Linked DNA regions of Ovis aries. The protein of the gene in region 1 interacts with the protein of each later gene in a pairwise test. Links are inferred from orthologs where the notes say so. Each region holds a gene or a part of one and is shown in the gene's direction. Other genes may lie near its edges.

Region 1 (4,169 bases):
TGTCAGCTCCTTTGTCCATGGGGATTCTCCAGGCAAAAATACTGGAGTGGGGTGCCATGCCCTCCTCCAGGGGATCTTCCCAATGCAGGGATCGAACCCAGGTCTCCTGCATTGCAGGTGGATTCTTTACCATCTGAGCCACCAGGGAAGCTATGAAGGTTAAATGAAACAATACCTGAAGGGAACTTAGCCCAGGCCCCTTCACATGGTGAGCATTTGGTCCATGTTAACCATGATTAATAACAACGTTATTATTGATTCCTTATTCCTTCTGTGATTCCTGTTTCTGTAAAACCTTTTCTGCCTGGCCTCAGTCACTCCCTCCCATCCTCCTGAATTCCATACTCTTGGTAGCAAACTGTTGACTCTGCCTTCACCCACCAAGTTCTTCCATGTTCCCCTACCTTTGCAAGTGCCCTTTACTCAGCCTGGAATGTCCCCCTTCTTCTCTATGGGTTCATCATTTAAGATCCAGCTCATAGTCAGGCTTTCTGTGACACCTTTCTCAAATTATCCAGACAAAAAGGATGTGGATGCCTCCTCCCACTATGCACCCAGGCCTTCTGTTCCTATCTCCTCTTAAAACCCGGCCTGGCTGGAGTTCCTGGAAGAGAGAGACTCTATGTGCTTATTTTGGTGATCAAATTTGTAACCACAGTCACCAAAATCGTGCTGTAATACTGGCTTAATATTTGTGGACGTTTTGCTTATTTTGTTCGATTTTATTGGAAGGAATGAACAAATGAATGAATGAGAATAGTTTAACTTCACCTAGACCAAGCAAAAAGTTTGGGTGGTGATAGTGTTGGTCATTTGGGGCGGGCTAATATTGGACTCTTCCTTCCATGCGCCAAGAAAAATATTACCTAACAATAGAGAACCTGTCATCCTAAGGAACTGAACTCAGTAAAGGGAAGCCTATATTTAAGAGCAGGGAGAGTGTGAAGCAGGTCAACTCTGTCTTCGCAGCTGTCCCTGAGAGGGCGCTGTTCCCAAATTAAACCTCCAGAGGCCGGGAATGAAATACCAGAGCGTTCCCACAGAACTCAGCATCCCTCCCTTCCCATGCAGCGAGCGGTCGCGGGTCCCCAGTGGGGCCACTGCCCACAAACATGGCGGCGCCCTGCTCAGCTTCTCCCCGCCGGGGCCGCAGGGCAGCGCCAGCCTTGCCAGTACTCGGGGACTTCCTCCGCGAGCCGGCTTCCTGCACGGCTGGCATTTAAACCCGCGCCTGGGGCTGCGGGCTGCGGCTGCAGATGCTGAGCTGTCCGCGGGCTGGGCAGCGCCGCCGCCTCCTCAGAGCCTCCGGGGCGGGCGGGAACAGATTAGAAGCATCCCTTAACTGCACTCGAGCCAAAGTGGGAGAGAGCTGGGGGAGACCGGGGGACCCGGCATCTGACATTTTAATTGCAGGTTTGACTTTTTTCCCAAGATCGCAGCTCTCCCGCCCAACCCAGATATTTTTCCTCTCTCCGGCCTTGGTTGCTGGATGAAGCCGGGGCTGGGCTTGGTCCCAGGAGCAGGGGAAGAGCGCGTTCGCGGTCCCACGCCGTCGACCCGGGGACCCCCGAGCCCTGCGTCCTGGCCATGGTGCGGCTGAGCCCGGCGCTCCGGTGAGGCTGCGGCGCGGTTGGGAGCCCAGCGGGCCCTCCCTGTGGGACACCTTCCCCAAGGACCCGGGGTCGCAGACTCCAAGCCCTCTTGCTGGGACTGCGCACCGGGGGCGAGCAGGCGAGCGGTGGCCGCGATGTTCAGCTGGCTGCGCTCCGACGACCGCCGGAGGAAGGACCCCGAGGTCTTCCAGACCGTGAGCGATGGGCTCAAGAAACTGTACAGGACCAAGCTGCTGCCCCTGGAAGAGCACTATCGCTTCCACGAGTTTCACTCTCCTGCCCTGGAGGATGCCGATTTCGACAACAAGCCCATGGTGCTGCTGGTGGGCCAGTACTCCACCGGGAAGACCACCTTCATCAGGTGAGCCAGCCACGGTACCCCAGCAGCCCACCCAGCTGCCCAGCGCTAGACCCTCTGCTCTCTCCCGATGTCCCTCCTGGGGACAAGAGATAAGTCTTCACTTGAAATCTCTGAAGAAATCCTTGTAGGGGGGTTGTCCAAAACTTACCCTATAATTTCATTGGATGGTCCCTTGCTCCATCCTACCTAGCACCTCTCCACTGCACTCAGCCCATGAAGTGTAAAGTTCAGAGCCATCCCTATGCTACCCATTTTATGGATGGTGAAACTGAAACCCACGAGGCACAAGTGAGATGTATCCTGGTCACAAGAATACCTTAGGCTGGTGGGGGTGTCTGACACCATCTCCTTGTAGGGACATGTGCTTGATGGTCAGGACCAATTCCCTTGCCTTATAAAAGCTTCAGTCACTCACATGGGGGCTTTACAGTTGCAGCTGAGGAGGTGGGCCAGGGAGCCCACTTGTCCTTCTTTCATCAATTTCCTTTTCCAATCAGAGCTCTTTACAAATATCTCTCGTCGACTGGAGACAGTGTCTAGAGGCAGAATGCTATTTTGTTTCCTGTTGATCTTCGTGGCTCAGTAATCATATTAAAGTCTTTTGGAGGTGGACAGAATATTGGCCACGGTCTCAGGCCACGGTCTCATCCAGCTCCTTGACTTGGCAGGCAAGATAACTGAGGCGTAGAGAGGTTAAATGAATTGTCCAAACCATATAACAGGATGGGAGGCTGACCTGGGATGCGGTCCTAGATGCATGGGAGGAGATGGTTGGCTCAATGCCTATAACTTTGAGGGTGAGTCATCCATCCCCTTGAATTACAGAATCCTCGGGCTGTAGGGATCCTCAGGAAGTCAGCTGGCCACCCGGCCTTCACGCTTATTGTCCACCAGAGCGATAAGGACCTTTCCTATCTTTAGAAGACAGGCTTCTCTCCAGCCCTCAGGCCACATAGCCTTCAAGGCCAGGCCATCTTCCTTGGTCTCATTCACACATTCACAGGCCTGAAAGCTGTTGAGGGTGCTCTGTGTTGAGTGGCCCTCTGTGTTGAGAGTCAGGCTCATAGAAAGTGGTGATGGATTCAGTTCCCCTCTGCCCCTGCAGAGTCAATGGTGCTCATCTCCTATGGAAGGTTTCAAAGCAGGGACGCTCTTGTTTCCATTCATTGACCTGCAACATGCAAAGCACTGTGCTTTGTTTGGTGAGGAGAGCAGAAAAGTTCACAGTCTAGTTCCTGATTTTCTAGATTCAAATCTTCCCTAGTGCTAAGCTTTTAACACAAGCCTTCTGGGAGCAGGGCACACACCATATTAACATGACATGTCTGAACGGGACATCAGCTGAGTTTTTCCTTGTGGGGTGGACAGCCTTGGAGTCACTCAGCTTGAGGGGCTGAGTGATTTCTAAAGTTGGGTACCCAGGGGGATTGTTGGCTTTTGGAGGTCTTATATTGTTAGGACCCTTGCAAAGGGTCCTACCTGCAAGGACCCTTGCAAAGAATCTAATTCATTGCTTCTTAACTTTTCAAAAAGTCTGTGAACCCATCTTTACAAAAAAGTCCCTACATCCCAAATTTACATATAATTTTGGGAGTCCAAGCCTTGGACCTTAGGGCAAAAACCCCTGATCTAATCCATCTCCCTTTTTTGGTTAAATGCCCATTGCAGCCAAAGATACTTCAGAGCCTCCTGGTTCTGTGCTTTGTAACATGCATCTTCCACCTGGCCCCATGGGAAGCACAGGCCATTTACAGATGGCTCCTGCCCATCACGTGGCCTTCCCCAGCCCTCTGGCCACACCTTGGTTATAATTCTTTGTAGGTTGTTTAGAACATCTCCTTCCTGTGGCACCAGCACTTACTGCCTAGCTCCCTGGGTCCTTGCTTGGGGGTCTCTGCTACAGGAGCTCCCAGTAGACATTTGCAGAATGGGAGGGGAGGTGGGGAGAAGCCAACATCCCCGAGGGCAAGATCCCAGAACAGCAGACGTGTTTAAGTGCCTCTTGTCTGAGACACTCTCCTGGCTTTGCCTGAGTCATGCTGGCTGTTAACTGGGTCTAAGAAGGTGGCAGAGCCGAATTGCTATAGATTACTCCTTATCTGAGGGAGACAGGAAGGCTGGGAGAGGCAGAGCCCTCCTCTTTCTTATCCACTGAGTACAAGCGTTCACCCTCCCCACTCATGTCAGTAACCGAA
Region 2 (3,679 bases), about 180 Mb from region 1:
CGCTCGGCACCCATTCGCGGTTTGGTTTGTGCAGCTCTCCATGCCTCCCGCCTGTCCCGCTCGGAGCCGCCTTCAGCTACCCCATCGCCAGCCCTCAGCGTGGAGAGCCTGTCGTCCGAGAGCTCCAGCCAGCCTCCCAGTGAGGAGCTCCTGGAACCACCCATCGTGCCCAAGAGCTCCTCAGAGCCTGCCGTCCACGCCCCTGGCACCCCTGGGACCTCTGCCAGCCTCTCTGCCAACTCCTCCCTGTCTTCTTCCGGGGAGCTGGTGCAGGCCAGCATGGACCGGATGCCTCAAGCCAGCCCTGGGCTTGCCCCCAATGCCAGGGGCAGCCCGGGTCCCCCACCAGCCAAGCCCTGCGGTGACACTGCCCCCAGCCCCCTTGTGCTGGTTGGAGACAAGAGCCCTGCGCCTTCCCCTGGAGCCTCATCCCCGCAGCTGCAGGTGAAGGTGAGTGTCTGCTGTCCTGTCTAGCGGACGTGGGCCTGGTCTCGGGGCAGGAATGTCCAGGGCTGGCCATCGTTGCTGTCCCTGACTTGTGGGGTGACCTTGGCTCTGCCCGTCTGGCCATTCATCACTCCATGCACTGAGGTACAGCTCCCTCTCAACATCCTTTTATCCGCTGGCCAGACCTCCTGTCCATCTGTTTACCTGTCCACTTGCCCAACCTTCCATGTCTTGAGACATCCAGCTCTTATTTACCTGCCGAGCCCATGCACGTGCCTGTTGGAGACACACACACCAGCCACCACTCACCCACACATCTTCCATCCGCTTTCCATTCACTGAAGCCCTATTTGTGCTAGAACCTGGCACAGCATCATTGAGACCCTGTCCTTGCCCTCCAGGGGCTCACCCTCTGCTCAGGGAGACAGGCCTAGACGATTGTCCTTCCACCTGGGGTAGAGAGCACAGAGGGGAGGGGATGGTGCCCTTCTTGGGGTCGCGTTCCTTCTCCAGAGACCTCAGTCTCCCCTCCTATAGAACGGGGCTGATGGTGTCGATGGAGTCGCTCTTGTGTGCACGGGCTGGCCTGGGCTCCCAGGGTGATGGCTGTGGTGGTCCTTGTCCCCAGGTGCTCATAGCCAAGTTGGGGGTGGCGCACCGAGATGACTGTGCCTTGTGTGGAGTTTGTAGTGGGGTGGACTTGTAGCGGAGAGGTCAGCTCTCAACAGGCAGAGGGCCCAGGAAACAGCTCTGCTGGGAGCCTCTGTTGTGGCCACTCTGGGGGTACAGACAGCCCCTGCGGCCGCTCCCTTCCCAGGCCCCTCCCAAGCTGGCCCCACGCTCCGTCCCCTCCGGGGGCTGCAGTGGGCACCCGCCCCTGGCAGCTTGTTTCCCAGATGACCTTTGTGATTGGTGGAGCACCTGTTTCTCAGGGCCCCGCCAAGAACCAGGGGTCACCGGGGGCAGGACACTCCTCTGGGCACCTAGTTTACCAAGAGGTCTCTCCTTTGCGCCACCAGCATCTTTTTCTTTTCTAAAATATTTATTAAAGGACCAGAGTCCCTTTGTGCCACCAGGGTCCTTTTTTTTTTTTTTTTTTTTTTTAAATTTTTATTTATTTGGCTGTGCCAGGTCTTAGCTGCAACACGTGGGATCTTTAGTTGCACCATGCAAACTCTTAGTTGCTTCATGTGGGATCGAGTTCTCTGACCAGAGATCGCGCCTGGGCCCCCCTGCAGAGTCTTAGCCATTGAACCAATAGGGAAGTCTGAAGCCACCAGCTTCTTTTTTAAAAAATTATTAATTGATTATTTTTGGTTGTATTGGGTCCTGTAGCGTGCGGGCTTTCTCTAGCTGCAGGCGCGGGGGCTGCTCTGTTGCGATGTGCTGGCTGCTCTTTGCGGGGGCCTCTCTTGTGGCCGAGCGCAGGCTCTTGGCGCACGGGCTTCAGGTGTTGCACGCGGGCCCGAGAGCGTGGGCTTCGGTAGTTGTGTGCAGGCTCAGTTGCTCCGAGGCATGTGGAATCTTCCCGGACCAGGGATCGAGCCCGAGTCCCCTGCGTTGGTAAACGGATTCTTAGCCACTGGGCCACCGGGGAAGTCCACCAGCGGGTTCTGATCCTGCACTTGGTGCCGCACTCTGCAGTCCTTTGAGGGCCTGGGGCTCACCTGCCTTGGGTGGAGGCTGGCCCCAGGCTGGCTGTAGTCCTGATCTGACCAGCCTGACAGAGGATAGTCTGCAGAGGAGCCGGAGCTGTTGGTTTGTGCACCTTTCAAATGCCATCTAACCTTCTTTGGTCTGGGTGACCACCCCCAGCCCAGCTGTCACCACCTGCTGTGTGTCTTGGACAAGGTCCCGCCTTTTCTCTGGGCCTCTGGATGTTCTTAGGGGTCCCAGGGTTCCTTGCTGAGTGGGTGGAGGAGAGCGCTGATTGTGAATCCCCCCCATCCCCACTACAGGCAGCTGGCCGTTTCCTGCCTTGGGGTGTGTGAAGGGTTGGTTTGAAGTTCTGTTGCTGAGAACCCTTGAGGGACTTGGGGCCTTCGGGCTGTCTGACCCTGTTGAGGTGCTCCAGGTGTGATTGTGGGGGGTGAGGGCAGAGCCCCAAGGGGGCTTCCTCCTGGGGTGCCCCATCCCTTACCCTCACCCTAGGATTCAGAGGGAATCTGAGACATTGAGGGCGGGAGACAAGGCCCTTGGGTAGGTGCTGCCCTGCGGGGACCAGACTATCTCCCAGCCGCGCCTGGACTCCTACGTCAGCTCCCAGAGCAACTAGCAGCCTCAAAGAACTCCCCCTCCCCCACCTGAGCAGCTGGCACAGGTGAGGTGAGCAGCTCTCCCCTCCCCCTTCCTCCCCCAGCTCTTGGAAAGCCAGGTCCTCCTGGGAGCACTCCATGGCCTCAGGGACGCCTGTTTCCGATGAGCTGGGGGAAGTGGTGGGAAGATGCTGGCACTGCCCTCGTGGCAGGCAGGGTCTGTTCCCGTGCTGGGCCTGCCCGCTCTGCTGGCCTCAGAGAGGACAGAGATCTCCCTGGGGAGGAGCAGTGTAGGATGGGGGCCTTTCCTGGGTAGGGCAGGGGCTGCCTCCCTCTACTGAAAGCGGGATTCCGCTTTTGTACTTCCTGGCTGGGAGACCCTGGGCAAAGTGCTGAGCCCTGTAATCCCTGCTGGGAAAGGGGTGTTGGTGAGGCCTGGGTGAGCTACCATTGCTTCGTCCTGCCCTAAACTGCACATCCTGACCACTGCCCCTAGCGCCGGAGGGCTGCCCGGCCTGAAACAGACCAAGTCACACTCCAGCTTGGGCCCTTGGGAAGAATGTGACCTTGGGCCAATTACTTAACCCCTCAAAACTTAAGTTTCCTCACCGGTAAGATGGGCAGACATGACCCACTTTGTGGAGTGGTTGTGAGGATTAGACAAGCGTGTAGAACAGCACCCAGTGTGGCAGCTGCACATGAGGGGTGCTGGGAGGTGGAAGTCTTTGTTGAATGACTGGGTGCCTCAGACTGGATGCTGGGAGATTCTGCCTGAGTCCCACCCGCCCTGCTTTCCGTGGATCCACGTGATCAAGCTCCCAGGGTCCCACTGCCCCTTCCTGACTTTTAATATCTTCTGTCATGTTTCCCTGCCTTTAGTCTTCTTGCAAGGAGAATCCTTTTAACCGGAAGCCATCACCCACAGCATCCCCAAGTGTAAAGAAGGCCACCAGGGGCTCGAAGCCAGCGAGACCACC

The links.
Region 2: the proteins of EHD3 (region 1) and MICALL1 interact in binary tests that used the Homo sapiens proteins (3 or more experiments, as listed by UniProt). The link is inferred for Ovis aries from reciprocal best matches to the Homo sapiens genes EHD3 and MICALL1.

Annotation. Positions count from the first base shown.
Region 1 is NC_056056.1:38,031,466-38,035,634, forward strand, and holds the start of EHD3 (EH domain-containing protein 3), read left to right. Parts: upstream 1-1,246; 5' UTR 1,247-1,747; coding exon 1,748-1,974; intron 1,975-4,169. UniProt on the Homo sapiens protein: ATP- and membrane-binding protein that controls membrane reorganization/tubulation upon ATP hydrolysis. In vitro causes tubulation of endocytic membranes. Binding to phosphatidic acid induces its membrane tubulation activity.
Region 2 is NC_056056.1:215,557,633-215,561,311, forward strand, and holds part of MICALL1 (MICAL-like protein 1), read left to right. Parts: intron 1-34; coding exon 35-450; intron 451-3,581; coding exon 3,582-3,679. UniProt on the Homo sapiens protein: Lipid-binding protein with higher affinity for phosphatidic acid, a lipid enriched in recycling endosome membranes. On endosome membranes, acts as a downstream effector of Rab proteins recruiting cytosolic proteins to regulate membrane tubulation.